4 linked regions of the Arabidopsis thaliana genome follow. The protein of the gene in region 2 purifies or fractionates together with the protein of the main gene of each other region. This does not show direct contact. Each region holds a gene or a part of one and is shown on either strand. Other genes may lie near its edges. The genes, in order: SYD, AP1, KNAT3 and CHR17.

What was found.
Region 1: the proteins of AP1 (region 2) and SYD purify together in Arabidopsis thaliana (affinity purification with mass spectrometry, with the first as the bait; one study listed by BioGRID). This does not show direct contact.
Region 3: the proteins of AP1 (region 2) and KNAT3 purify together in Arabidopsis thaliana (affinity purification with mass spectrometry, with the first as the bait; one study listed by BioGRID). This does not show direct contact.
Region 4: the proteins of AP1 (region 2) and CHR17 purify together in Arabidopsis thaliana (affinity purification with mass spectrometry, with the first as the bait; one study listed by BioGRID). This does not show direct contact.

Annotation. Positions count from the first base shown.
Region 1 is NC_003071.7:12,055,247-12,059,808, reverse strand, and holds the start of SYD (P-loop containing nucleoside triphosphate hydrolases superfamily protein), read right to left. Parts: upstream 3,039-4,562; coding exon 2,931-3,038; intron 2,837-2,930; coding exon 2,775-2,836; intron 2,527-2,774; coding exon 2,411-2,526; intron 2,314-2,410; coding exon 1,924-2,313; intron 1,823-1,923; coding exon 1,767-1,822; intron 1,250-1,766; coding exon 1,089-1,249; intron 1,002-1,088; coding exon 937-1,001; intron 855-936; coding exon 462-854; intron 347-461; coding exon 186-346; intron 1-185. UniProt on the Arabidopsis thaliana protein: Catalytic component of the chromatin structure-remodeling complex (RSC), which is involved in transcription regulation and nucleosome positioning.
Region 2 is NC_003070.9:25,981,791-25,988,187, forward strand, and holds AP1 (K-box region and MADS-box transcription factor family protein), read right to left. Parts: upstream 4,560-6,397; 5' UTR 4,313-4,559; coding exon 4,128-4,312; intron 3,148-4,127; exon of another isoform or gene 2,962-3,147; intron 2,786-2,961; coding exon 2,707-2,785; intron 2,607-2,706; coding exon 2,542-2,606; intron 2,449-2,541; coding exon 2,349-2,448; intron 2,118-2,348; coding exon 2,076-2,117; intron 1,990-2,075; coding exon 1,948-1,989; intron 1,469-1,947; coding exon 1,314-1,468; intron 1,146-1,313; coding exon of another isoform or gene 1,109-1,145; exon of another isoform or gene 889-1,108; coding exon 786-888; 3' UTR 504-785; downstream 1-503. UniProt on the Arabidopsis thaliana protein: Transcription factor that promotes early floral meristem identity in synergy with LEAFY. Is required subsequently for the transition of an inflorescence meristem into a floral meristem. Is indispensable for normal development of sepals and petals in flowers.
Region 3 is NC_003076.8:8,734,310-8,739,115, reverse strand, and holds KNAT3 (homeobox protein knotted-1-like 3), read right to left. Parts: upstream 3,173-4,806; 5' UTR 2,909-3,172; coding exon 2,228-2,908; intron 1,953-2,227; coding exon 1,832-1,952; intron 1,744-1,831; coding exon 1,559-1,743; intron 1,482-1,558; coding exon 1,350-1,481; intron 1,272-1,349; coding exon 1,135-1,271; intron 1,041-1,134; coding exon 1,001-1,040; 3' UTR 515-1,000; downstream 1-514.
Region 4 is NC_003076.8:6,196,157-6,204,159, reverse strand, and holds the start of CHR17 (chromatin remodeling factor17), read left to right. Parts: upstream 1-1,993; 5' UTR 1,994-2,101; coding exon 2,102-2,314; intron 2,315-2,598; coding exon 2,599-2,730; intron 2,731-2,807; coding exon 2,808-2,914; intron 2,915-3,006; coding exon 3,007-3,119; intron 3,120-3,340; coding exon 3,341-3,438; intron 3,439-3,530; coding exon 3,531-3,710; intron 3,711-3,793; coding exon 3,794-4,015; intron 4,016-4,225; coding exon 4,226-4,360; intron 4,361-4,429; coding exon 4,430-4,712; intron 4,713-4,794; coding exon 4,795-4,868; intron 4,869-4,979; coding exon 4,980-5,200; intron 5,201-5,276; coding exon 5,277-5,364; intron 5,365-5,440; coding exon 5,441-5,534; intron 5,535-5,617; coding exon 5,618-5,806; intron 5,807-5,896; coding exon 5,897-5,931; intron 5,932-6,046; coding exon 6,047-6,123; intron 6,124-6,219; coding exon 6,220-6,309; intron 6,310-6,407; coding exon 6,408-6,477; intron 6,478-6,571; coding exon 6,572-6,626; intron 6,627-6,698; and 12 more. Other genes in the region: AT5G18630 (alpha/beta-Hydrolases superfamily protein), read right to left, coding at 65-132, 230-277, 367-432, 665-744, 1,123-1,195. UniProt on the Arabidopsis thaliana protein: Possesses intrinsic ATP-dependent nucleosome-remodeling activity. Constitutes the catalytic subunit of several complexes capable of forming ordered nucleosome arrays on chromatin. Involved in the formation of nucleosome distribution patterns.

The sequences.
Region 1 (4,562 bases), on a different chromosome or scaffold from region 2:
CTTCTATATCCAAAATCGGATACTTAAATATGATCATTGATCTGTTCCAATAACAAGATCAAGAACACGGAAAAGTAAGAACCACCACAAACAACAAGCAACAGCATAAAACGTTGACACCAGGAAAAATCAATCACTCGTGAAACAAAAGGTAACACCAATGAAAGAAAAGGCTAGAGAAAGACCTTCAACTCATTGAACCGTGAACCAATTGCCTGGTCGGCTTTCTGCTGTTTAAGGGACCAACTACGATCAACCAATAGTCTCTTATTCTGTCGACCCATAATCCATTTCTGTGACATGGTGTACTTAGGCGACGGTTGCAAATTACCTTCCTCTTCATCTGCTATGTGCCATATATCCATATTCGAAGAGTTATCAATCAAATTAGTTAACAATACTACACTCCAAAAGGGAAAGACCCATCAGTTAAAACAATCCCATCTAAGATAGTCACTAACCAGAAGAATGAAATTCGTCGAGTTGAACAGCAGAAGTTGAGAGGTCATTAGTTTTGATTACTCCAGTCCACCCCACCATCTCTGATGGTGTGTTTTTGGTCAAACCAGGAGAAAACGTTAGTTGAGAATGACTAACAGCAACCTGAGTTTGTGCTTGAGAGCTGGGAATTCTAGATGCTAGAAGCTTTTGCCCGTCAGAAAATACAGTATTTGCGAAACTTTTTTCCCCTAGTCTTGATCTCTCAGTTTCTTTGGATGAGAAGTCCATTTCATCCAATCTTCCAGTGGGATTGTCTGTTCTTGACAACAGTGCAGAGACGTCAGGAATGCCACCCAGATCACTGGACGTATGTGTTCTCCCTTTCGGATCAAACAATTCTCCGCGGAAACCATCTGTAATGAAGACCAATTATGATCCAAGGGAAAGCATGTAAAAAGTGGATTCGAAAGTAACTTCAGTGAGCACCAACATTACCTTCTTCGCGGAAAGTATTTCGAAGGGCAATCTCTACGTGAAGTTTCTTCGGTACCAAACCATTTCTACGAGATGAAAATCAACCAGAAATTTTTAGAGTTACAATTGCCGCACCAAAAGGAGTATACAGAGGCTAGGAGACTGTAAGGTACCTAAGAGCTAGAAACACAAGGCACTGGGCTCTGAGCTGCTTCAGTTGTTGCTCTCTAAAAGGTGAACCTGAAGGCAGGAATCCCTCTCCTGCAACATTATTTCCAGGTTCTTTATGAATTGCAGGCCTGATTGCTGTGGCTTCACTGCTCTGCCAGCCACACTGCCATAGAAAATAAGATCCCACATATAGAGGGGATGAGTTCCAACGAGGTATCTTGGTATGAAATAAAAGAGGAAAGGACATTTTGCAGAGCCTAAGTCAGACTATATGCAAGTAAGATTCAATACATCATATAGAAGGCAAAGTTTTAATCAAATCACGTTTTTGAAAAAGTGAATTTAGTGGCATCTAAGTTTTTTAGGTTAAAAAACAAAGAAAATCACCACGGGAAATGCAAGCATTTTTTTCATATTTCCAATACAGAAAACGAAAATAGATAAGAAAATAATACTTCTAAGGAGAGACAAATGTTTCGGAGAATAAGCCACCATGTGCCAGCATATATCTCTTTATACATTCTTAAGAAGTTATTGTGCATCAGATACGTGTAGCACAAAGTCCCAAAATATTTGAAATTGGCAGAGTCAGGGAGGCTCAAAATGATTTCATAAACCTAATGTTATGTACACAATATGTATATAATCTGGATGGATTCGGGAAACTTAGTGTTATGTACCTGTGGAGTCGTGAATGCATCTGAGGACAACCCAACATGCAAATTCCTAATGTCACCTGAGGTTTAATGGCAACAATTGTAGGGTGCTTCTTATATTCTAGATTAAAAAGGATATGCTTTGTTCTGTAAGAAACAATGTTGAAGCAAATATCCCTACCTGAATTACCGGGCATTTCTATTTTGCTTACTTCTCCAGTTTGATCATCAATCTTGTGGCTATCAAATATTTGAGAGTTATCCATATTCTGGTCCCATGAAAGTGATGATTCACCTCTCTTTCTCTTTCCACTCGACTTGACATCTCTTTGATTCATTGTCTCACTACGATTGTGAGGTTGAGAAATTCCAGACGTAGAATCCAAGTTGGATGGACTCTCACGATCAAATGATCTGTTACTTTGAGTTCCAGACCCTTGGTAAAAGGTTTGTGACGCACTGTTTGATCCACCAAGCTGCCTACCAGAAGTGAATGCATCGTATTTTGTCATCTCATTTTCAACTAGAGTTGCTTTACCCTCATTGCTAACTCCAACCGCTTGGGAAGACCCTGTATTCCACATTGATGCAAGAAGCTTAAGATAATAAATAAATAAATAAAAAAAACAATTGAAACACTCAACTGAAACAAAGGAGAGAGGATATACCAGCCAAATGTGCAGACCCAGAATCTTCCGTTTGGGTACCACCAGGATGAGGAAGACACGAGGACTTCAAAGCTTCAATGTCAAGACCGTGTTGATTGACTACAGTGTCCATGGCCCTGGGAGTTTTAGAAAGACTTTATCAGTAAAACAAAAGTGATAAATCTTTGAAAGCATGAGAAACAGCTTGACGCTGAAAGACCCAGAATAACTAGATTCTAAAGTCTTGAGTTAGATAAAGGCTAAAGCAACTGATTCAGTAAGAAGCAGCCCCCACGTCCTCACAGCGTAAGAAGATTATATCATCTCAACCTAATCAGTAATTCATTAACAAATAACCAGCGACGATATATAAGGAAAACAATACCTAGATATGACTTGATAGGGCATTGTGTTTTCCTTTCCACTGGTTTTCATGTGCTGCAATATCTAGAGTAATCGAAAGAATAAACAAAGTTAAAGCACAGGAATAAAGCTCAAAATTACAAAATAAAACATACACTGAGTGGTGAAGCCACATTACCACATAAAGTTTAGTTGCTAGCTTTGCAGGTTCATCTTTAGAATCTTGAATAAGTTTATGCAGAAACTTAGCTGCTTCCAACTCAATATTATGCGAAGAAGACGTCATCTTAACTTAAATTACACCATCACATAAGAATTCCCTGCATCACCACAAGCATGCAGATATTGATTACACAATTCAGAATAAAACAAGACTAATTCCAACCAATGTGCCCAAAAAAAAAAACTAAACTAAACTCTAGAGTCCATACTCCATACCAAACAAATAAAAGAAAATAGCCCAAGAGCAAGTAAATCATAAAGGAGGAAAATTTATGTACCTAAAAGCAAAACTAAAGCGAGAAGAACCTAACAAAAAAAAAAAACTCAGAGGTCCACAATTCATGTGATAAATCCACGGATACATACAAAATTGTAAAATTGGCTGATGGAGCTAAAAAATTCCCCAAATCGCAAGGCAAAGGAGAAGAATTCGCGAGTTACTCTAGTTAATGCAACTCACAAAACCCTAAATAGCTAAATAACGATCCATCAGTGTAGAAGGAGACGAAGAAGAACAAGAAGAAAGAGAGAGGGAGCTTTACAAATTAGAGATCCGGCTCGAGAAGACGAAGCAGAAGTGAAATTTCAGGTGAGAAACGTTGAGAGCTGACAAGTGAAGAAGCTATGCGTCGTCTCTGCGAAATGACTCTCCAAATGAAGAAATGTATAAAACTTATTTCAGACATTAATCAAGAGTTCTAAACGAGACCCCTTAATGGGCCTTGACCCATTACCATAAAGCCCAAATTGAAAAAGATAAGTTATATCACTAAAAGAGGGCGTGAAGAGATGGATTGATAGACACGGAAAAGAGAGAGAGATTTTGGGAGATTCGATTCGAAGATGTTCGATCTTCCAATTGATATGGAGGAGGAGGTGCTCTCTAGGGTTCCGGTGAAATCTCTGGGGAAACTGCGATTGACCTGCAAAAAGTGGAACACTATAACGAAAAGTGAGAGCTTTTTAAAGAAGAAACAGAGGAATGGAATTGAGGTGGTGATGATGATGGACTATAGAGTTTCCTTGATGAGCGTAGATCTACTCTCTCCGTCTATAGATCCTATAGGTAATCTCAATGCAGATGGAATCAAAATATCTAAAATCTTTCACTGCCAAGGGTTTATTCTTATGCATCAACAAGGACAGAGACAAAGACTCTTCTAGGGTTGTTGTTTGGAACCCTTATTTGGGACAAACAAGGTATATCGAATTACCTAGAAATTCTATCTACCACAAGTGCGTGAAGTACGCTCTCGGATACGAGAAAAAGAATCACAAAATCTTGAGATTCGTGAATGAGTACTTGGAGACCAGTAGGGACCGAATTCGTGAGCTTCAGATTTACAGTTTATACTCCAATTCATGGGAGGTCATTGATGATTTCACTCCAGACTGGTATATTTTGTACAAACACAGTGGCGTGTCTCTAAAGGGAAACACTTACTGGTATGCCCTAGAAGAGATCCCATTTCATGGTCTACCATCACTAGATCACCCTGATTTTCTACTATCCTTTGATTTCAAGATTTGAACCGCGTCTGCCTCTGCCTTTCCGAGCCGTATTTGGAGATACTGTGACGCTTGCTAG
Region 2 (6,397 bases):
ACAGAAATTGTTTTCTAAAAAAATTAGCAGGAATACAACGAAGAGAAGATAATGTGAGAGTTACGCTTACCACAACGTGCCTTTTCTTGAGTTTAGCAACATTTTACTGAATGTAGATGAAGAGAAGATAATGTGAGAGTTACGCTTACCACAACGTGCCTTTCTGGTGGTGATATATCTTAAGAACCTTAGTGGGCATTTTCACTGGTCCCTTTACTGTAAGTCTCGTGTCCTTAGCTCCATGAAACAAGTCAATACACACTAATTATTCGATCACTAATCAAACAAATGTATCAGAGAGACTACCAGGGTGTTACATTACAGATCCTCATCCATTCGGAGGCACTGTTATTATTGCCTATCTTATCTAATTAGAAGCAAATTCTGGGCCTTTATAGGCCAACATCCTTCCTTGATTCTAATTGGGTTCTATTCCGATTAATACGGCCCAACCACTCAAGTTCGCTTGTTGTAAACTTGAAATAATAAGAAATTTTGCCACTCCTAACTTAATGCAACAAAAAAAAAAAAAGGTCCGATCTATTAAGTTCACGTTCATTCTCTCTGACCTTCAAATATATTACAATTTTGCTCCATATTGAAGCAAATAAACTTATCAAATTACAAAAGAAGAAAGGAGCCTGCTAATTTATATATGATGATATAAGAACATCGAACATTTGCCAAAATATATTAATTGGATGAAAAGAGCCTAGCCACTATTTATATGTATGTGGCAAACTGTTTTTATTGTTGACGATTACAAATATATATATGGAAATGCTTCATGCGGCGAAGCAGCCAAGGTTGCAGTTGTAAACGGGTTCAAGAGTCAGTTCGAGATCATTCCTCCTCATTGCCATAGGATCATCTTCTTGATACAGACCACTGCATTCACAATCATACATAGGATATATATGAAAGTGCATATGTAATCATATGTTTCACCGTACAACAAAGGAAAATCAAATATCAGTCCATTGTGAAATGTCAAAGATATATTAATTTCATTTATCTAACAAACTAAAATTGTACTTAAACACATAGACCAACAACAACAAAAAGTCGACTTAGGCTTTTCGCAACCATTCCATGTACATTTTCCACACTAATAAGTTTGTTCGTTTGGCGACCATTGCATTAACCTACGTTAATAAAATAATGTTTTAAAATAAAGTTTTCTAGTTTCAAAATCATGACATCATGTAACCATCACTAACAGCTATAACTTCAATGAAATTACAACACCTAACGTAACTAGCTTGCATAACATATGTGCTTTAAATTAAGACTGATTAGTAATTTTTTGTTACCCCATGTTGAGAAAAGGAGATGGCTGATGAGAGAGCATGTAAGGATGCTGGATTTGGTGCTGCTGCGGTGGCAGAGGGGGAGGCATATTGTGGCCTTGGTTCTGCTGATCCCACTGCTCCTGTTGAGCCCTAAGAATTTTTTCCCTCTCCTTGATCTGCCAGCAAATTTATTTCAAACCATATTATCATCATCAATTTTCAAAGTGAAGAAACTATATATATGCAATGGTTACAAATAGTTATTTTCACAGTTGCACTCATGCAATGAACTATTATAACATTTTTATAATTAGGAGTAGTGTCTATATTCATATACATAGATATGAGCTAAGTAGAATGATGGGACAACATTTCAAAGTTTCAAATATTTTCAATCCGAGAGACAACCTTAAAACTAAACGGACAAACCATATCTACGTACAGGCTGGTGATTATATCAATCAATAGACAACATCTATGCTATTTCAAACAATTTGCAAAGATTTTCTATTTTTATTTAATGGTGCCGAAGTTAAGTGGAGATATGAAGATATCGTAGGTATAGCTTGGCTGGAAGTGTGGAGCAGAACAGTGGAAGGTAACAGTAATGCAATGGACAACATGTTGATGAAAGAGAAATGATGACATGTGTTACCTGTTTAGAAAGCATGCTGTTTTGCTCCTGTATGGCCTTCTCCTGTCATTTCCGAAACGGCACGATTGTTAATTAGCTTTCCTATACGTTTCTCTATAAGACATACATTTGATAGGGGTTTTACATACCTTTTTTTGGAGCTCATTGATGGACTCGTACATAAGTTGGTTCTGCATACACACACATCAACATTAACAACCCATTACTTTAAGTAATATGAGTCTTAAAATACACAACATAACTCATACATTCGAACCAACCTATAGACATATCAAATTGATATTGATTACTGATATATATATTGATACATACACATATGTATTTCAATGTTCACATTATAATAACACTTGTAAACGTTTAAGTTATATAGATATGTTCAACGAAATAGCAGAAGGCAATACTTTTCTAGTGCGGATGTGCTTAAGAGCAGTGTCAAGCTGCTGCTCCAGATTCTGAAGCTCTTTAGGGCTCATTGCTTGCAAGTCTTCCCCAAGATAATGCCTGAATTTCAATAGCATCAATGAATTTTAACTTACTTTAAAATGGAACCCGATCGATTTCCTAGATAGAAATGTGATGAGTGTAAATGTGTACCTCTGGTTTCTCTCCAAAAGCTCAATCTTAGCCTTAAGCCTGTTATACTCCATCGACCAGTTTGTCTGTGTACCAGAAGTTTTATACAAATAAAATTCATCAATACTACAAATAGATTGATATAATATATATGTGGATTAAAAGGAGAAATATTTATTGAAATACATTGACGTCGGACTCAGGTGCAATAAGCTGTCTTTCGGCGTAAGAGTACCTCTCATAGCGTTCAAGTATCTTCTCCATACTGATCATTTCACAGAATTAGGGTTAGCTTTATCATCAACCAATTATCATTTTATTATATAAATAATATGGAGATGTAACCAAAATATCATCACATTTTAGGATAAATCTAATGATGGTTTTATGCAATTAAACCAAGATTTCCTATAACAAATCAAGTACCGATCTCTATGATACCTTTATAATAACAAAACAGTATGAATCATAGACCCTATGCTCTTAGCTTCGAGTTCTAACTGCGGTTTCTTTAATTTTGCTACAATTAGGTACAGAAAATCTTCTTAGATGCGACACATTATAATAAATTATTATAATCTTGCCAATTTACCAATCTTATTTTTTTTCAGAACAAGGACAATGCTTAAAAAAAAAAAGAAAAAAAAAAAAAGAAGAACAGCTGTTGCTTGTTGGAGCTAAGTTTGACCATCGGTAAGAAGCCGATTTTAGGATGGAGTTAATTCTTTTTATGGATCCCCAGAGGTCAAAGACTCCCTACTCAGATTTGACATCTTTGTTTCAGTTTTAATTTCTAAAGTCAAATAGAAAAAGAAGCAACACTAGTTCAAATTTAATACTATATAGTGTTTTATATTACGAGTTCATAATCTTAAGATCCGAGTTTAAACATTTTCTTTGCTTAGATTTGCAAAACATGAAGACACAGTCGTGAGAACAAATTAGATATTCTTTTACAGCTGAAAAAAAACAACTCGTAAGTTAAATATTCTTTCTAATAAAAAATTCTCAATTTGACATTATTATCTATATCTATTTTAATTTATTTTCTCGTCCCATAATATTTTTTAATTATAATCCAGTTGCAACTTATATATGAAAAAAGAAACGACACTTCATTTAAAACTCGAACTCAGTGAGCGAGTGAAAACTACAGATCTTATTTTCTTACTATGGCATCAATTAGAGCTTAGATCTGCAAATTCGAAAGACATGGCTATTGGAGAACAAAAGAATTCATTATGAGTTAGGGATCAAAACCCTAGTTCAAAGATTAAACATACACCCTTCTATATGCTCTTGAGTTTGAAGATATGATGCTGATAAATATTGCACAATATATCAAGGTAATTACTATGGTATAATTAGTGTGTTCTAGGGTTCACTTCACTACGGCCCTAAAGTTTTGATTTTTAAATTATACAAATTTGTATTAAACATTTTTCTGGCTAATCAAAAAATCCAAAAATGGAAGCCCTAGAAAATATATAAACAAAAGCAGTAGTGAATAATTAGGGCAAATCAAGTAGTCAACTTAAGGGGGAAAAAACTATATAAAGTAGCAGATTAAAAGATTTTTTTAAAAGTAAAGAATTAGTTGAAGTTACCAAGAATCAGTGGAGTATTCGAAGAGTTTTCCCTTATGGGAGAAGACAACAAGAGCAACTTCAGCATCACAGAGAACAGAGATCTCATGAGCTTTCTTCAAAAGACCAGCTCTTCTTTTCGAGAATGTCACTTGTCTATTGATCTTGTTCTCTATCCTCTTCAATTGAACCCTACCCCTTCCCATTTTTGATCCTTTTTTAAGAAACTTCTTACTCTAAAAGAACCAAACAAAACAAAGACCCCCAATAAGAAACTACAAGAGAGATATAAAGAAGAGCTCAGACTTTGGTATGAACCAATTAGGAAAGTTTTTCTTTCTTTCCTTTATAAAAAGACTTGTGTTTGAGTCTCGGGATCTTTATTTATGGAGAGATTTGGGTAAGAGTGGTTTTAGGGAAAAGCTAAAGCTGGTTTCTCTTGTTTGCAAAAACCACAGTGGTTTCTTTAGGATTTGCGTGTCGACTTCTCATTGGTATATCTCGTACTAATGTCGGGTCCATGATTTTTTAATAAAACTGCGGACTTAAAAATATGAAAATAAACAATTTGATTATCGACGTCTCGTGAAGAGAAATGGGTAAGTAACATTGTACGGACCACTGGTCCTTCCCCAAGTGTCACCTTCGCTTTGCATTGACGGCGGAGATTTCCCTGTAGATCTACGAAACAAAATCTGAACCAACCAAAATATCTATTTTTAATTTCCTTTTATTAACATTTCTCTATTACCCTATTTTACACTATTCTTTTGGAATAAGGTGAGAACCCTTTGTTTTATCAAATTTGCTTATTATATTTAATGTTCTCAGCTGTAACAGTGAAGTACAAATAGACCTTTCTTTTGGCAATAGATGTTTTTGGTAGAGCTGAGAACCAATTGACAACTGTGTAATGTATTGCGTCGACGGATTTGTACGCAGGATTTAAGGAAAGAGAGGAAGATCGAGAAGAATAATTGTAAGTATTCAAAATTTCAAACCCAAAAATAGTATTTTGTCAAAGATTTGTTCAATGTTGTGTGTTCTTATTAAGTTGTAGATGATCAGGACAAAAATCAGTTGAATATGTGCTATGTTGTTAATCAAACATACATATATTTTTTTTCGTCAATCAAACATATTTAGTTTGTACGTTATATCCATATATATTGTTAAATAAAACAACCATATATATACAATTTGATGTCAATCATATAATGAAATAAACCACATAAAAACCTTTGCTCAATTTGCTTAATCACTTCTTTTACAATGAATTTCCGTTGTAATAGTTTTCTCTTTTGAGATCTTCAAGTGTGAAAAAACCCCTTATTTTCAGTCAATATCCAATAACAAAAAAAAAAAAAACAGATTCGGCATTTGCTTAAGGCATATATTGCATAAGCCTTAGAGAAAACAATATAATTAAGTGAAAGTTGGACCACGTTTCAAATTTCTTTGTTAGTCAAGTGTTCCTGTTTTAGTTGATTACTTTAAATATCTCAGGTTTGAGGACTAATTGATTTTTCTTGTTAAAAAATTTCTTTCTGTTTTTTCCATTTCTTCTCTTATTTGGTGTTTTCCACGTGTCTTCTTCCTTATTTGATTTACTTTGTAATTTATAAATATTTGGACATCTTTTAGCAACTATTGCTTACGGTATTATTGTTTCATCAAAACAACAATTATACTAATTTTAGAAAAATAAATTAGACCATGTAAAAAGAAAAAATTGTAATATAGTAAAATCTATTTAAGTTAAAGTTCATTTTTAGTTATATATTTCTTCTATGCCAAATGAACCTATGCTAAAAAGATGTCACTTGCATTTTAATCCAACTTTATGTATTTTCTTCATAGAAGTTATATTAAATCTGGTATGGTATGACATATATACTTGAAATGGTCGTGGTTATATAACCAAATTTAAACATGTACGTCCTGAGTTTTGAAACGATACATAAGTTAAAAGATAGTGTATAGAGAAATCAGTCTAAAGATAGTATACTATATATATGTATGATATGTATATGGAGATCATGAGCAAAAGTAGTAAGCAACAAAAGGAAAAGTAGAAACTTAACAAATTGAGCAAAACTAAAAGAATCTAAGCTCGTGGCCTTGAAGACAACATCCCAAGAATATCCATTATCTTCGCCTTTGTTACATCTCCACCCTTCTTTTCTTCCCATTAAATATCCCTTTTTACTCTCTTTCAGTTTATTATTCGATGTAGCATACATATTTTATATACAATATCTCGATCCACTAAGATACGGTTACATCTCCAC
Region 3 (4,806 bases), on a different chromosome or scaffold from region 2:
ATGACAATTCTCTAAGTTAACAACTTTGATGTTCATTACAAAACTACTTATATGAATCTACTTTCCTAGATTTAATCTAATGTACTAATGGGCTTCTCATGAGACTAGTCTTTGAACTTTGTATGGTCCTCTAATAGAGAGGCGACCAAAATACTTAAGGACACTCTAATTATCTTTGTTAATGTGTGCAGAATCTCTCCGTGATCGATAGAAAAATCTCGCCGAAAACTTACAGTAACTTGTGGCTATCACAAACGTGACAAACGAAACAACAAGATGAGGATAAACAAACAATTTTGACTAGAAAAAAGAACACGTTTCAAATTATTACAATTACAAAAGTACGCAGCAAGCTACGTTATGTAAGATGGGGTATGTTTTATTTTTTGTCGTCATCTACCATGTATAATGTCTTTTACTTATCAAGCCAATATCACGAGTTGGAATGTGACATCGCAATAAATACTACGAACTAAGCGGATAAGAATCATAAGATGGGTTAAGTACGGTTAATGCGAAACATATACTGTATAATAGTCACATAGATTAAGCTAACCAAGTGGTGCGATACAAATTAACATATGCACCTGGTCAATGCGTAACATATACTAGTAGATTAAGAAAACTTGTGCATCCCAATGTTCTCCTCTCTCACTATCTTTATTCACAAGATATATTATGGATGATGATGATGATTATCTGATGGTTCATAAAAAAAAAACTCATGCAGACAAACAAACAAAAAACATTAAACAAAAGCCTGCATCTTCAGTTTTCATATTTTCTTTTTGGTTTGTGTGCTACTTAATAAAATATATGGGCATAATCACATAACCAAACTACGTTACTATGTAATTGCACAAAAAGTTACTTTCTAATACTGTCCCCTCTCTCTGTATAATCCAAACTCCTCCATAAAATTCTCAACTTTAAATCCCTAAAACCCTGCTTTCAAATCCCATCTTCCACCTCCCCAATTCACATCATATGTTTGTTGTTTCTACGCGAACCGCTCTCTTCCGCTATTGTCACCTGCATTGCTTTCATCAGACAAACAAAAGTTTCAGTCTTCTTTGAGTCCGATCCATAAGTTTTTCGGTTATGTTACAAGACTATATTAAAGTATAATAATACCTTTTGCGTTTGTTCTTCAATACAGTGGAAGAAGATGGATTGCTATGCCAGTTCCTCTTTCTCTGATTGATGAACCAATTGTTTATCTGTTTTAGCTGCAAACCTGTCTCTTGCACCAACCTCGCCTTATCTTCCTCCTACAAACCAATATTTGGTTATGGCTCAATGAATGAACTTGAAGAAGTTATAAAGAGATGTTAGATGAGTGAACTCACAGTAGGGTAAGGCCATTTGGAATGAGATTGCCACCAAGCTTTGAGAACAGAGGTGGTATCTCCTGGTAACTTCCCAGCTCTTCTCTTCCTTAATATCTCCTCTCTTATGTCTACTATCTTCTCCTTGTAACCCTTTTCATCAACAAGACAAAGCCCTCTACATTGTTAGTTCATGAACTAGTTCAAAGAACAAGTTTGTTGATTATTACCTGTTTGAGTTCATGTTTAAGTTCTTGTCTAACTCTTTCCATCAACGACCTCTCACTCTCAGTAGGAATCAAAGGACCAAAACCCAACACATCTAATCCCCCATCGAACATATTAGCATCACTCTCTACTTGTTCATCTTCATCGTCAGACATTGTTGCTCCCATCCCTTCTCCAGGAGACACTCCTAATCTCACCAATAAAACACAAAACTTGTCAATGTCATAAAACTAACTATTGGATTCATGAGCTAATCACAGGATTCATTTTCTCACCTGTTAAGCTTTGAAGAGACTGCTCAATCTCCCAACAAGCCATCACAGCTTCCATTGCATGAACACGCACATGTTGTTGCAATTGCTCTTTAAATGAACACAGTAGCAACACATAATGTGTCTACACCATAAAAAAAACATTAATCAAACACACAATAAACACAAAGAACAAAATTTGTATTTTCTTCATCATCATGACCATTATTATATCATAAGCTCTTTTTTTGGGATTTTAGTCTTGTTTATCCCTAAAAACACAAATCTTGATTTTAATATTTTAAGATTTCAAAAATCAAGAAACCTAAGTCGGTGTGTATTATTAAAATTTGTGCTAAGTATAATTATGAAATCGTTAATTATAAAATTATAGAACAAAAAAATCTGAAATTTATATACCATGAACTGGTCAAGTTCTTTATCGTCGCCGACGAGACCTTGAGCGGCGGCGCCTAAAGCTGAGTATTTAGCGACGACGTGTTGAGACTGAGCAAGCTGAGCATCGATTCTCGGAAGCTGATCAACCGGAGTCGCGATTCTCAAACAAGCAACGTGCGCCGACAAAAGCTGCTCGTAAAGAGGATGCGAAAGGATCTCCGCCTTGTGTCTCGCATTCTGCCAGCTCACTACTCCATCCGCCGCCGTAGCTCCTCCGCCGTCGTTTTTGTTTTCTCCACCGCCGGTTTTCATCTCTCCCTGAATCATAGTGTCTGCTCCTCCGGTGACATCATCGATCCCATCTCCGACTATGGAAGCGTTGTTGTTGTTGTTTCGTTGGAGGAAAGAGGAGGAGCGAGATAGCCACTGGTTAGCAGCGGCGGCGGCGGCGGCGGAGGAAGGAGAATCGGAGCTGCTTGCGGTTGTGGTGTTAGCGGTGGCTGTGTGGAGGTTGAGGAAGTTATTGTTGTTATCTGAGGAACGAAGAAGCGCTGTGTTTAACCAATTAGGAGGCGGTGCTTCTTGGAAATGTTGTTGCTGTTGCGGAGGAGGAGGAGGCGGTTGCGGAGGTGGAGGTTGGTGTTGGTCGGTGAAATGATTGAAGGAGAGGTCTTGTGAGAGATGATTGTGATGAAACGCCATCGTTTTGGTTTGACCTTTTTTTTTTTGTTCTTTTTGAATTTTGTTTCCTGTTTCTGAGAGGGAAAGATAAAGAAAGAAGGTGAATCTCTGCTGCTTCTATGACGACGATTGTTTCATATGTTTCAATTATCACCAAAAAAAAAAAAAAAGACACAGAAACTTTTCTTAAAATTGGAAAATAATTGGTTTTTGTGGTGTGTATGTATGTATCTGAGTATATATGTGTGGGTGTGTTCAGAGTTGCACAGAGCTGAGAGATCGAGAGATGACCATTTATTCTCATATTTATTCTTTCTTATTTTTTGCAACCTATTTATCAATATAATTGAATTATTATATGGAATTTATTAGATAAAAAAATATTCCTTCTCTATTCCTTATTATTTAATTTTTTAGAGGAAAAAAATTGTTTTAAAAAAAATAATTTTTAAATTTTCTATACATTATTTATTAGTTATTATTGATAAATTTTTAATTTTAAGATAAATAATTGAATATCATTGGTTTAGAATTATAAAAAAATATAAATCACAAAAGATAATATGTTTATAATTAGTTTTAATATGTTTTTTAATATATGTGTTTTTTTAGAAAATTAATTTAAAAAAAAAAACTGAAAGATAGTAAAAACAAAACATTTTTTTAAAAATCGCTTATGAGAACTTTTATTTGTTAAATATTTTTCTAAATGCTAATTAAAAAGTAAGACAAAAATTGATTTTTTTTGTTAAAGAAAACAAAAATTGATTTTTTTTGTTAAAGAAGACAAAAATTGATGTCACCTCGTATAATCAAATCAACTGATAAAATCTTTTTTGATTTAACTAAGAATTTGTAAACTTTCTTCTATAGTGATATTATTATTGGGGGAAAGATAAAAATCCGACATCATAAATTAACCATAGAAAGCAAAAGTATTTAATAAATCAGTACGCTACATAATAAACAGTGCATTTGAGAAAATAAGATAATTTAGTTATGGTTGACAAAAATGTATTTTTTTTTCTTTTCCAATCACTTTGGTCCACATAGACCTAAGAAAGAATAAATATAAAAGTAAGTGACTAATGAAACAACAAATAGAAGATTAGGTCACGACAGAAAATTAATTAAAGAAAGTAGGTCGTCATGGTTCGATCTATGTCGTTAAATTTTAGTGGCGACTGTATTTATTAAGATCTGACGGCTGCGAAAGGTCGTTGCCTTCTTCGACTGTGTTTGATTTTTTTTATTGTTGGGAATAATAAATGTATTTTTCCTTTTTAAAAAGAGTTGCTACGTGTTGTGTTTTAAGACGCAACGTATCTATGATATGAAGAAGCGCGTGCGTTTCACGTTCAGATGTTAGTGTAATTTTATGGCACTATGAAACAAATTTAACTTATTTATTTATACAATTATTTTTTGCTTCACGCCTTTACCTATTATAAATCCTTCTCGTTTTATGTAATGAAGTTACGAGAAATTATTGAAAACAAAAAATTTAATCATGAATTTAAAGTTACAATTTTAGGTTAAAGATTTGAAATAAAACAATCTTTTAAGAATTTATTTATATGGATTTAAAAGACCTAAGTACCAGAAAACAAATTAGCTTATTTGTTTATGCACACTATTTTTTTGCTTCACCCTTTCACCTTTTTAAAATAATAATAATCATTTCATATAATATAATTTGAGAAATCACTGGTTCTTTAAAATCACATAATTTTCTGAAATCACAGTTTTTGGTAAATATAATTTTTAGATTTTTTTTGGAGTGAAAATTTTCGTACATGCTACGAAACAGAAATTTGGTATAAAATTTGATGGTAGTATATTCGATCGTCACAATAAAAGTTATCGTATATTTTTTTATTTATTTGAGTTTGGTTAAAAACTTAAACGATCAATTAATT
Region 4 (8,003 bases), on a different chromosome or scaffold from region 2:
GATTAAGCATTAACCAAGTTTATGCGAAGGAGTAGCTTTTAGATTACAATGACTAGAATAAAACCTGTGTTCTTGAGTTCCCCGAAATGCAATAATGATAGCATTCAAATCCTTAGCCACCCCAACATACGCCTGTTGTTACAAGTTACATGTACTGATATTAATAATTGTTCAATGAAGAAACATCATGAGTTCATGACCAGCTGTAGCTTATGATATCAGAGCAGACCTGTAAGCAGTGTTCAACGTCAAATATGACCTCTATTACTTCGAAATCCTGCACCATCCTAACAAACGTTAGAGCTCAACTCAATAATTGCGGCTTCAAAGTTCAAACAGTGATCTGCTTCAACATGTGTTTTTTACCTTTGTCAAACCATTGCATCTTTCGCACGTCCAAGTGAAGAGTTTTGTCAAATCAGACTCATAGACCTGCATACATCTTACAAACTTGATTCACTCATCTTATGTACGTTATCAGCATCATCTCTTTTCTCTAGTAGTGCAAATAATGATAAATGAAAATATGAAGAGGACAAGTGTAATTTCTTCTCACTTGCAGAACACTAGATATAAATGACATTCGTTCTACAGGGTATTACGTTTTGAAGCTAAATCATTATCAAAGGTCTTTTACTACTTCACTAATCTGCCATTAACTTACCGCAGAGGCATACTCCACAAGCGTGACGGCAAGCGTATGGTTGTAAACAGGTCGATCATCATCGCTCTTCAACTTGAGAACTGCAGTTAGAAGAAAGAAGCTAACATAAATCCACTTGCTTCAGTCTTAACTCCTTCGTAGCCTCACAACTCATACCAAGAACATGAAATTGTCGAAAACATAAAGCTTTGAAATCAATATTTTGACCTTCATGGTTCCTTATGTATATGATGATGCTACAAGGATTATGAATTGATTTGTTCCAAACATGATAGAACATGTAATTAGGCCTTAATGAAAAATCACTGTAGCCAGATTAAATTTCCAATTTCCCAAGCACTTCACATTACACAGAAAGTTTAAAATCTTAATTAAGCTCAGAGAGACTCAGGAGAATAAAAAAACTGGAAGTCCCAATAAAGGAAACAGACATAGAATCATTATAGAAGTTGCATTACCACCTCTACCATATGAAGATGAAACAAGAAAAGTAAAAACTGCCAGCAAGAACAACAATCTCTTTTGTCCCATGTTCTGCAAGAAGACAATAAACACAACCACATCATCCTCTGTTCATCAACCAATGTTAAGGGCAAAATTGAGCTAAAACAAAGCAGAATTCGGAAGCAAATTAGCCAAAAATATACCTTATAAAACGAGACTCACGAAACCCAAACTAATGAGGATTAGGACAAAACCCGAAAGAGATTTCAGCAACCAAAAGTCCCAGATAAATTAAACTGAGGATCCAAAGCCTAAATTGGACTTCTTTTACAACAATTCGGAAATTTCCGACGATGATCGGAGATTATTCCCGGCAAGAAAATTATACGGCGAGCTTATATATTATTATATAGAAGTCGTGATCTTGCGAAACAGAAGCTAATAGAAGAAAAGAAACGGCGATTAAAATACGAATATTCGGTTTTTTTTTTCTTAACTTCCACTTTCATCCTCTATACGCAAAGGTGCATGAGACAAGCGTGTAGGCTCTTTCAAAGGGTATTATTGGAATTTTAGGTGTGTAGCGTGTCGCAACTTCAAGTGCTGAGGTGTCAGATACGTGATTCGGGCGGATAAATGGATAAGGCCGTTCCGTTATAAGAACGAGAAGTTGACCTTTTTGACTTTCGCTTTCTTCTAAGTTTAACTTCGAGCCCATGGGCCTTTAAAGCCCGAATTCCAAGGCGGGAATTTCCGAAACTCTTACTTCTCAAGTGGCGGGAGAATCTTTATAAGTCAAGCCAACGTGGCACATCTCAGCCGTAGATTTGATTTCTCGAAATCAACGGGGTAAAATAGAAGCTACGGTCGTTTCAAACGTCGGGTTTGTTGCTTTTAATTTCACTTTTGTTTATTTACTAACCAAAGCAAAAAAAACTCAGGAACCCTCGATTCGATCTCTCAGACGAAATCAGGATTCGTAGAGGCGCGTCGATGGCTAGAGCTTCGAAGCGGGAAGTTTCTTCAGACGAGGCTTACTCGTCGGAGGAAGAGGAGCAAGTTAACGATCAGGCCAATGTGGAAGAAGATGATGACGAGCTCGAGGCCGTCGCTCGCTCTGCGGGCTCTGACGAGGAAGATGTTGCGCCCGACGAAGCACCTGTCTCTGACGACGAGGTTGTCCCCGTAGAAGATGACGCTGAAGAGGTATGTCTTCGTTTCTGTTTTCCACTCTTCGATTTACATTCGCATGTCGGCTGTGAATTCGGGGATTGCTGTATTTGGAAATCTGAATGTATTCTAAGTAAGATTAGGGTTTCCTTTGAGCGTATATTCGATATTTGGGTGTCTTTTGGTTTCGACTCTCTTTGTTTGAAGGTTTATGCTTAGAAGTGCTTACAATGATGGGTGGTCGCTCATTATGATGGTACATTCATGTGACTCGTGAGGATATTTGGTCACTCTTTTCATAATTTGATGGTTATATGTAGGACGAAGAAGACGAGGAGAAAGCTGAGATCAGCAAACGTGAGAAGGCTAGACTCAAAGAAATGCAGAAGATGAAGAAGCAGAAAATTCAGCAAATCTTAGACTCCCAAAATGCTTCCATAGATGCTGATATGGTAAGTTAGTAAATAACTGAGCTGCTTGTCTTTAGTATCCAGAGGTATTGAAATAACTCAATCATTCCATTTATTAGAACAATAAAGGAAAGGGGAGGATAAAGTATCTTCTGCAGCAAACTGAGTTATTTGCACATTTTGCTAAAAGTGACCCGTCTCCGTCCCAGAAGAAGGGAAAAGGAAGGTGTGTTGAGTGCAACTTATCTCAAAATAAATTGTGGTTATTCATATTAAGTTTCCAGAAATATAATTTATTGGGTTTCACTTTATCGTCAGGGGTCGCCATTCTTCCAAACTAACCGAGGAAGAGGAAGATGAAGAGTGTTTAAAAGAAGAAGAGGGTGGTATAGTTGGATCTGGAGGCACACGGTTGCTCACTCAGCCCGCTTGTAAGTACCTTTGTTTTGCTCCTAATATCTTGATATAGCGTATGTTTGCTCAAGTCCTATTGCGAGTCGAAGTTATTATAGGATTTGACACCTTATGCCCACTTCTTTGATTGGTAGAGTTGTTTGATATATTCTTCAGTTGCGAGCTCACAATTTCTAGGTAGGACTGCATAAATTCTGTAGAATTTAGAGATCTGATCTTCATACTCTTCATATTGCAGGTATTCAGGGGAAGTTAAGAGATTACCAATTAGCTGGTTTAAACTGGCTCATTCGGCTGTATGAGAACGGCATAAATGGGATTCTTGCAGATGAAATGGTAAACCACTAATTATCTTAGCATATAATAAGATTTTTCAGCTCTCTAATGTTATCTGATGCTAATCTTTATTGTTTTTGTTCATGGTCTAGGGTCTGGGGAAGACGCTTCAAACCATTTCTTTGTTGGCTTACCTGCATGAGTACAGGGGAATTAATGGCCCTCATATGGTAGTTGCTCCAAAATCAACCCTTGGTAACTGGATGAATGAAATTCGCCGATTTTGTCCTGTCCTGCGTGCTGTGAAATTTCTCGGTAATCCCGAGGAAAGAGTAAGTCATAATAGCTCTTACATTTGAATGGTTGCATTTATATGCACCTGGCAGGATTCTGAGATATATTTTAAATAATGCAGAGACATATTCGTGAAGAACTGCTAGTTGCAGGGAAATTCGACATTTGTGTAACAAGCTTTGAGATGGCTATCAAAGAGAAGACAACATTGCGCCGTTTTAGCTGGCGATATATAATCATTGATGAAGCACATCGAATTAAAAATGAGAATTCACTCCTTTCGAAAACCATGAGACTTTTCAGCACCAACTATCGGCTTCTTATCACGGGAACCCCCCTTCAGGTACTTGTCAAATCTTTTGATCTATAATTGTTTAGATCCTTCAATTTTTCTGTCAGATTGCTTCTGCCTATGTTGAAACTACTTTCTTGCTTGAGTCTGTTGAACTTAGTTTTTTTTTCTTTTCGTGTTCCTTAGACATGCTTCTTACTATCTTCTGTACTTGATTTGCTTGAGTTAATATTGTATTCATTTCATATGTTTCTACTACAGAATAATCTCCATGAATTGTGGGCCCTTCTCAATTTTCTTCTCCCTGAGGTTTTTAGTTCAGCAGAAACTTTTGACGAGTGGTTTCAAATTTCTGGTGAAAACGACCAGCAAGAAGTTGTTCAACAACTTCACAAGGTATGTACTCATATTTTATCAAGGTTATTCTCTAAGTTCTTATGCTAATCATTTACCTCATCTTTGTAGGTTCTGCGACCATTTCTTCTTCGGAGGTTAAAATCAGATGTAGAGAAAGGCTTACCTCCAAAAAAGGAGACAATACTCAAAGTTGGCATGTCTCAAATGCAAAAACAGTACTACAAGGCTTTACTGCAGAAGGATCTTGAAGTGGTTAATGGTGGTGGAGAACGCAAACGTCTGTTGAACATAGCAATGCAATTGCGGAAATGCTGCAATCACCCTTATCTCTTCCAGGGTGCGGAGCCTGGTCCCCCATATACTACAGGAGATCACCTTGTAACAAACGCAGGTAAGATTTACATTACAAGTAGATCATTCAGAAATGTGGCAATTGGCTTAGTTATTTTCTCTTTACATGTTCTTGTTTCTAGGTAAGATGGTTCTCTTAGATAAATTGCTACCTAAGTTGAAGGATCGAGATTCAAGGGTTCTGATATTTTCTCAGGTATTCATTAACGCAAACAAATAATTGTTCCTATCTTTGATTCCTTTTTTCTGAGTGATATCTTTCTTGGTTCTTTGTGCTTATTCCAACGATTTTGCTCATCTGTATCAGATGACAAGGCTTTTGGATATTCTCGAGGATTACCTAATGTATCGTGGTTACCAGTACTGCCGTATTGATGGAAATACTGGTGGTGACGAACGAGATGCTTCCATAGAAGCCTATAACAAGCCAGGAAGTGAGAAATTCGTTTTCTTGTTATCCACTAGAGCTGGAGGACTTGGTATCAATCTTGCTACTGCAGATGTTGTGATCCTCTATGATAGTGACTGGTAAGGCTCTTTTTGTGTCCATTGTAATTTATGAGTGTTTTCTTTTATGCCTAATGAGGTGGGTGGATTATGGCAGGAACCCTCAAGTTGACTTGCAAGCTCAGGATCGTGCACATAGGATTGGTCAAAAAAAAGAAGTTCAAGTGTTCCGGTTCTGCACCGAGGTTACTCTTGTACCCATGTGTATGAAGTAAGAATGACCTGGAGAACTTGAACTAATTCTGCATTGGTCTTATGCAGAATGCTATTGAGGCTAAAGTCATTGAGAGAGCTTACAAGAAGTTGGCACTTGATGCTCTGGTTATTCAGCAAGGGAGATTGGCAGAACAGAAAAGTAAGTGCTTGTGTACTGAGGCTGTTAGATGTATTGGATTTTCTCTTACATATATATACTGATTTCTTTTCTTTGCTTTCCAGCTGTTAATAAGGATGAGTTGCTTCAAATGGTGAGATATGGTGCTGAAATGGTGTTTAGTTCTAAAGATAGCACAATTACGGATGAGGATATTGACAGAATCATTGCCAAAGGAGAAGAGGCAACGGCTGAACTTGATGCCAAGATGAAGAAATTTACTGAAGATGCAATACAGTTTAAAATGGATGACAGTAAGTGTGCTATTTATCCCTTTTTCCAATGGTAACTCCCTTGCATGGGTAATGGGATGTCCAAACAAGATAGTTTTTGGTTTGTTGCAGGTGCTGACTTTTATGATTTTGACGATGACAACAAGGTATTCTTGGATAATTAATTGAATGATTGAAGGAAAGGTTTAACGCATACTGTGGTTATGCTCTGCAGTTTTTCGAATATCGTTTCCTGATTTCTTTTTTAATTTTGTTTGGTAGGATGAGAGCAAGGTGGATTTTAAAAAGATTGTGAGTGAAAATTGGAATGATCCACCAAAAAGAGAGAGAAAGCGCAAGTAAATATTACTTCTACTTTTTCATTACGTGGTCTATCCTGTCTTCCTAAACAATATCTAACTTCAACAATTTACTTTTCTCTACCCACCCTTTAGCTACTCTGAAGTTGAATACTTCAAGCAAACGTTGCGACAAGGTGCTCCAGCTAAACCTAAAGAGCCTAGAATTCCACGCATGCCCCAATTGTGAGTACCTCAATTGTCTCCACTCTGCATTTAGCCTTTTCCCTGTCTTATTTATAGTACTTTTATCGTAAAAATCTAATTTCTTGTCCATCCTGCAGGCATGATTTTCAGTTCTTTAACATTCAGAGGCTGACTGAGCTGTATGAAAAAGAAGTGCGATACCTTATGGTGGGAATAACAAGTTTATCAACATGTTATGTAATTTATGCAGCTTTTGTGTCTGATTAGTTCTGAATAGCAATTTGTTTCACTCTGGTTTCAGCAAGCACATCAGAAAACTCAAATGAAAGACACAATTGAGGTTGATGAACCTGAAGGTCTTTCTCAGTCTTTGCCCTCTTTTCTTACATTATTTTACTGAATCTATTACTTAAGAAATAATTTTGCAGAAGTTGGAGATCCCTTAACTGCTGAAGAAGTGGAAGAAAAGGAGCTATTGCTGGAAGAGGCAAGCCAAACCATTCGACCTTACTGTGGGTTGACATTTGTTTTTGATGGTTTTTTTATAATTTAATGGAGTTGATATTTTTTAGGGTTTCTCAACATGGAGCAGAAGAGACTTCAATGCCTTCATTAGGGCTTGTGAGAAGTATGGCCGGAACGACATAAAGAGTATTGCCTCTGAGATGGAAGGGAAAACTGAGGAAGAGGTTGAACGATATGCTCAAGTTTTCCAAGTGCGATATAAAGAGCTGAATGGTTAGTAACTTTAGATTGTTAAGTAAAGTTAATGAGTGTTTGCAGTGCGACAAAGTTGGATATTTATCCTAAGTAAGCTCTGCCTCTTGTTTTCCTTTGTAAAAATTGTAGATTACGACAGAATCATCAAGAATATTGAGAGAGGGGAAGCAAGAATCTCTAGGAAAGATGAAATCATGAAAGCTATTGGGAAGAAACTGGATCGCTACAGAAACCCGTGGCTGGAACTGAAGATTCAATATGGTCAGAACAAAGGGAAGCTGTACAATGAAGAGTGCGACCGTTTCATGGTATGACATCTATTTATCAAACTCTTTGTTGAGATTTCATTGTTATTGTTTTATTCTAATATGATATTGACCCGATGAACTTGTGATTATCAGATATGCATGGTCCATAAACTTGGGTATGGAAACTGGGATGAGCTAAAGGCAGCGTTTCGGACATCCCCCTTGTTTAGGTTTGACTGGTTTGTAAAATCCCGCACAACTCAGGAACTTGCAAGGAGATGTGACACACTAATCAGGTTGATTGAGAAAGAGAATCAAGAATTTGATGAGAGAGAGAGGCAAGCCCGAAAAGAGAAGAAGCTTTCAAAGGTGAGGACTTGAAGGAACATTTTTTTTTTTTTGTGCGAAGAACATTTTAAGTTTACATTTTCATTTACTGATGAGATGCTGTGGAATTGTTTCTCATGATCTGTTCTACAACTTGTTTCAGAGTGCAACGCCATCAAAACGACCTTCGGGTAGGCAAGCAAATGAGAGCCCTTCATCTCTTCTGAAGAAACGAAAGCAGCTGTCAATGGATGATTATGTGAGCTCGGTACTCAAAATCATTTCCAAAACATAAAAAGAGTTTTTCATTTTACTGGTTAATTCATGCAAAGCAGACAGACCATCTATTTCTGATCCTAACTAAAAAAAAACTTTATGTCTCTGCAGGGAAAGCGTAGGAAATAAGAAGGCTTGTGTTGAATCCATCACTAAGTAATC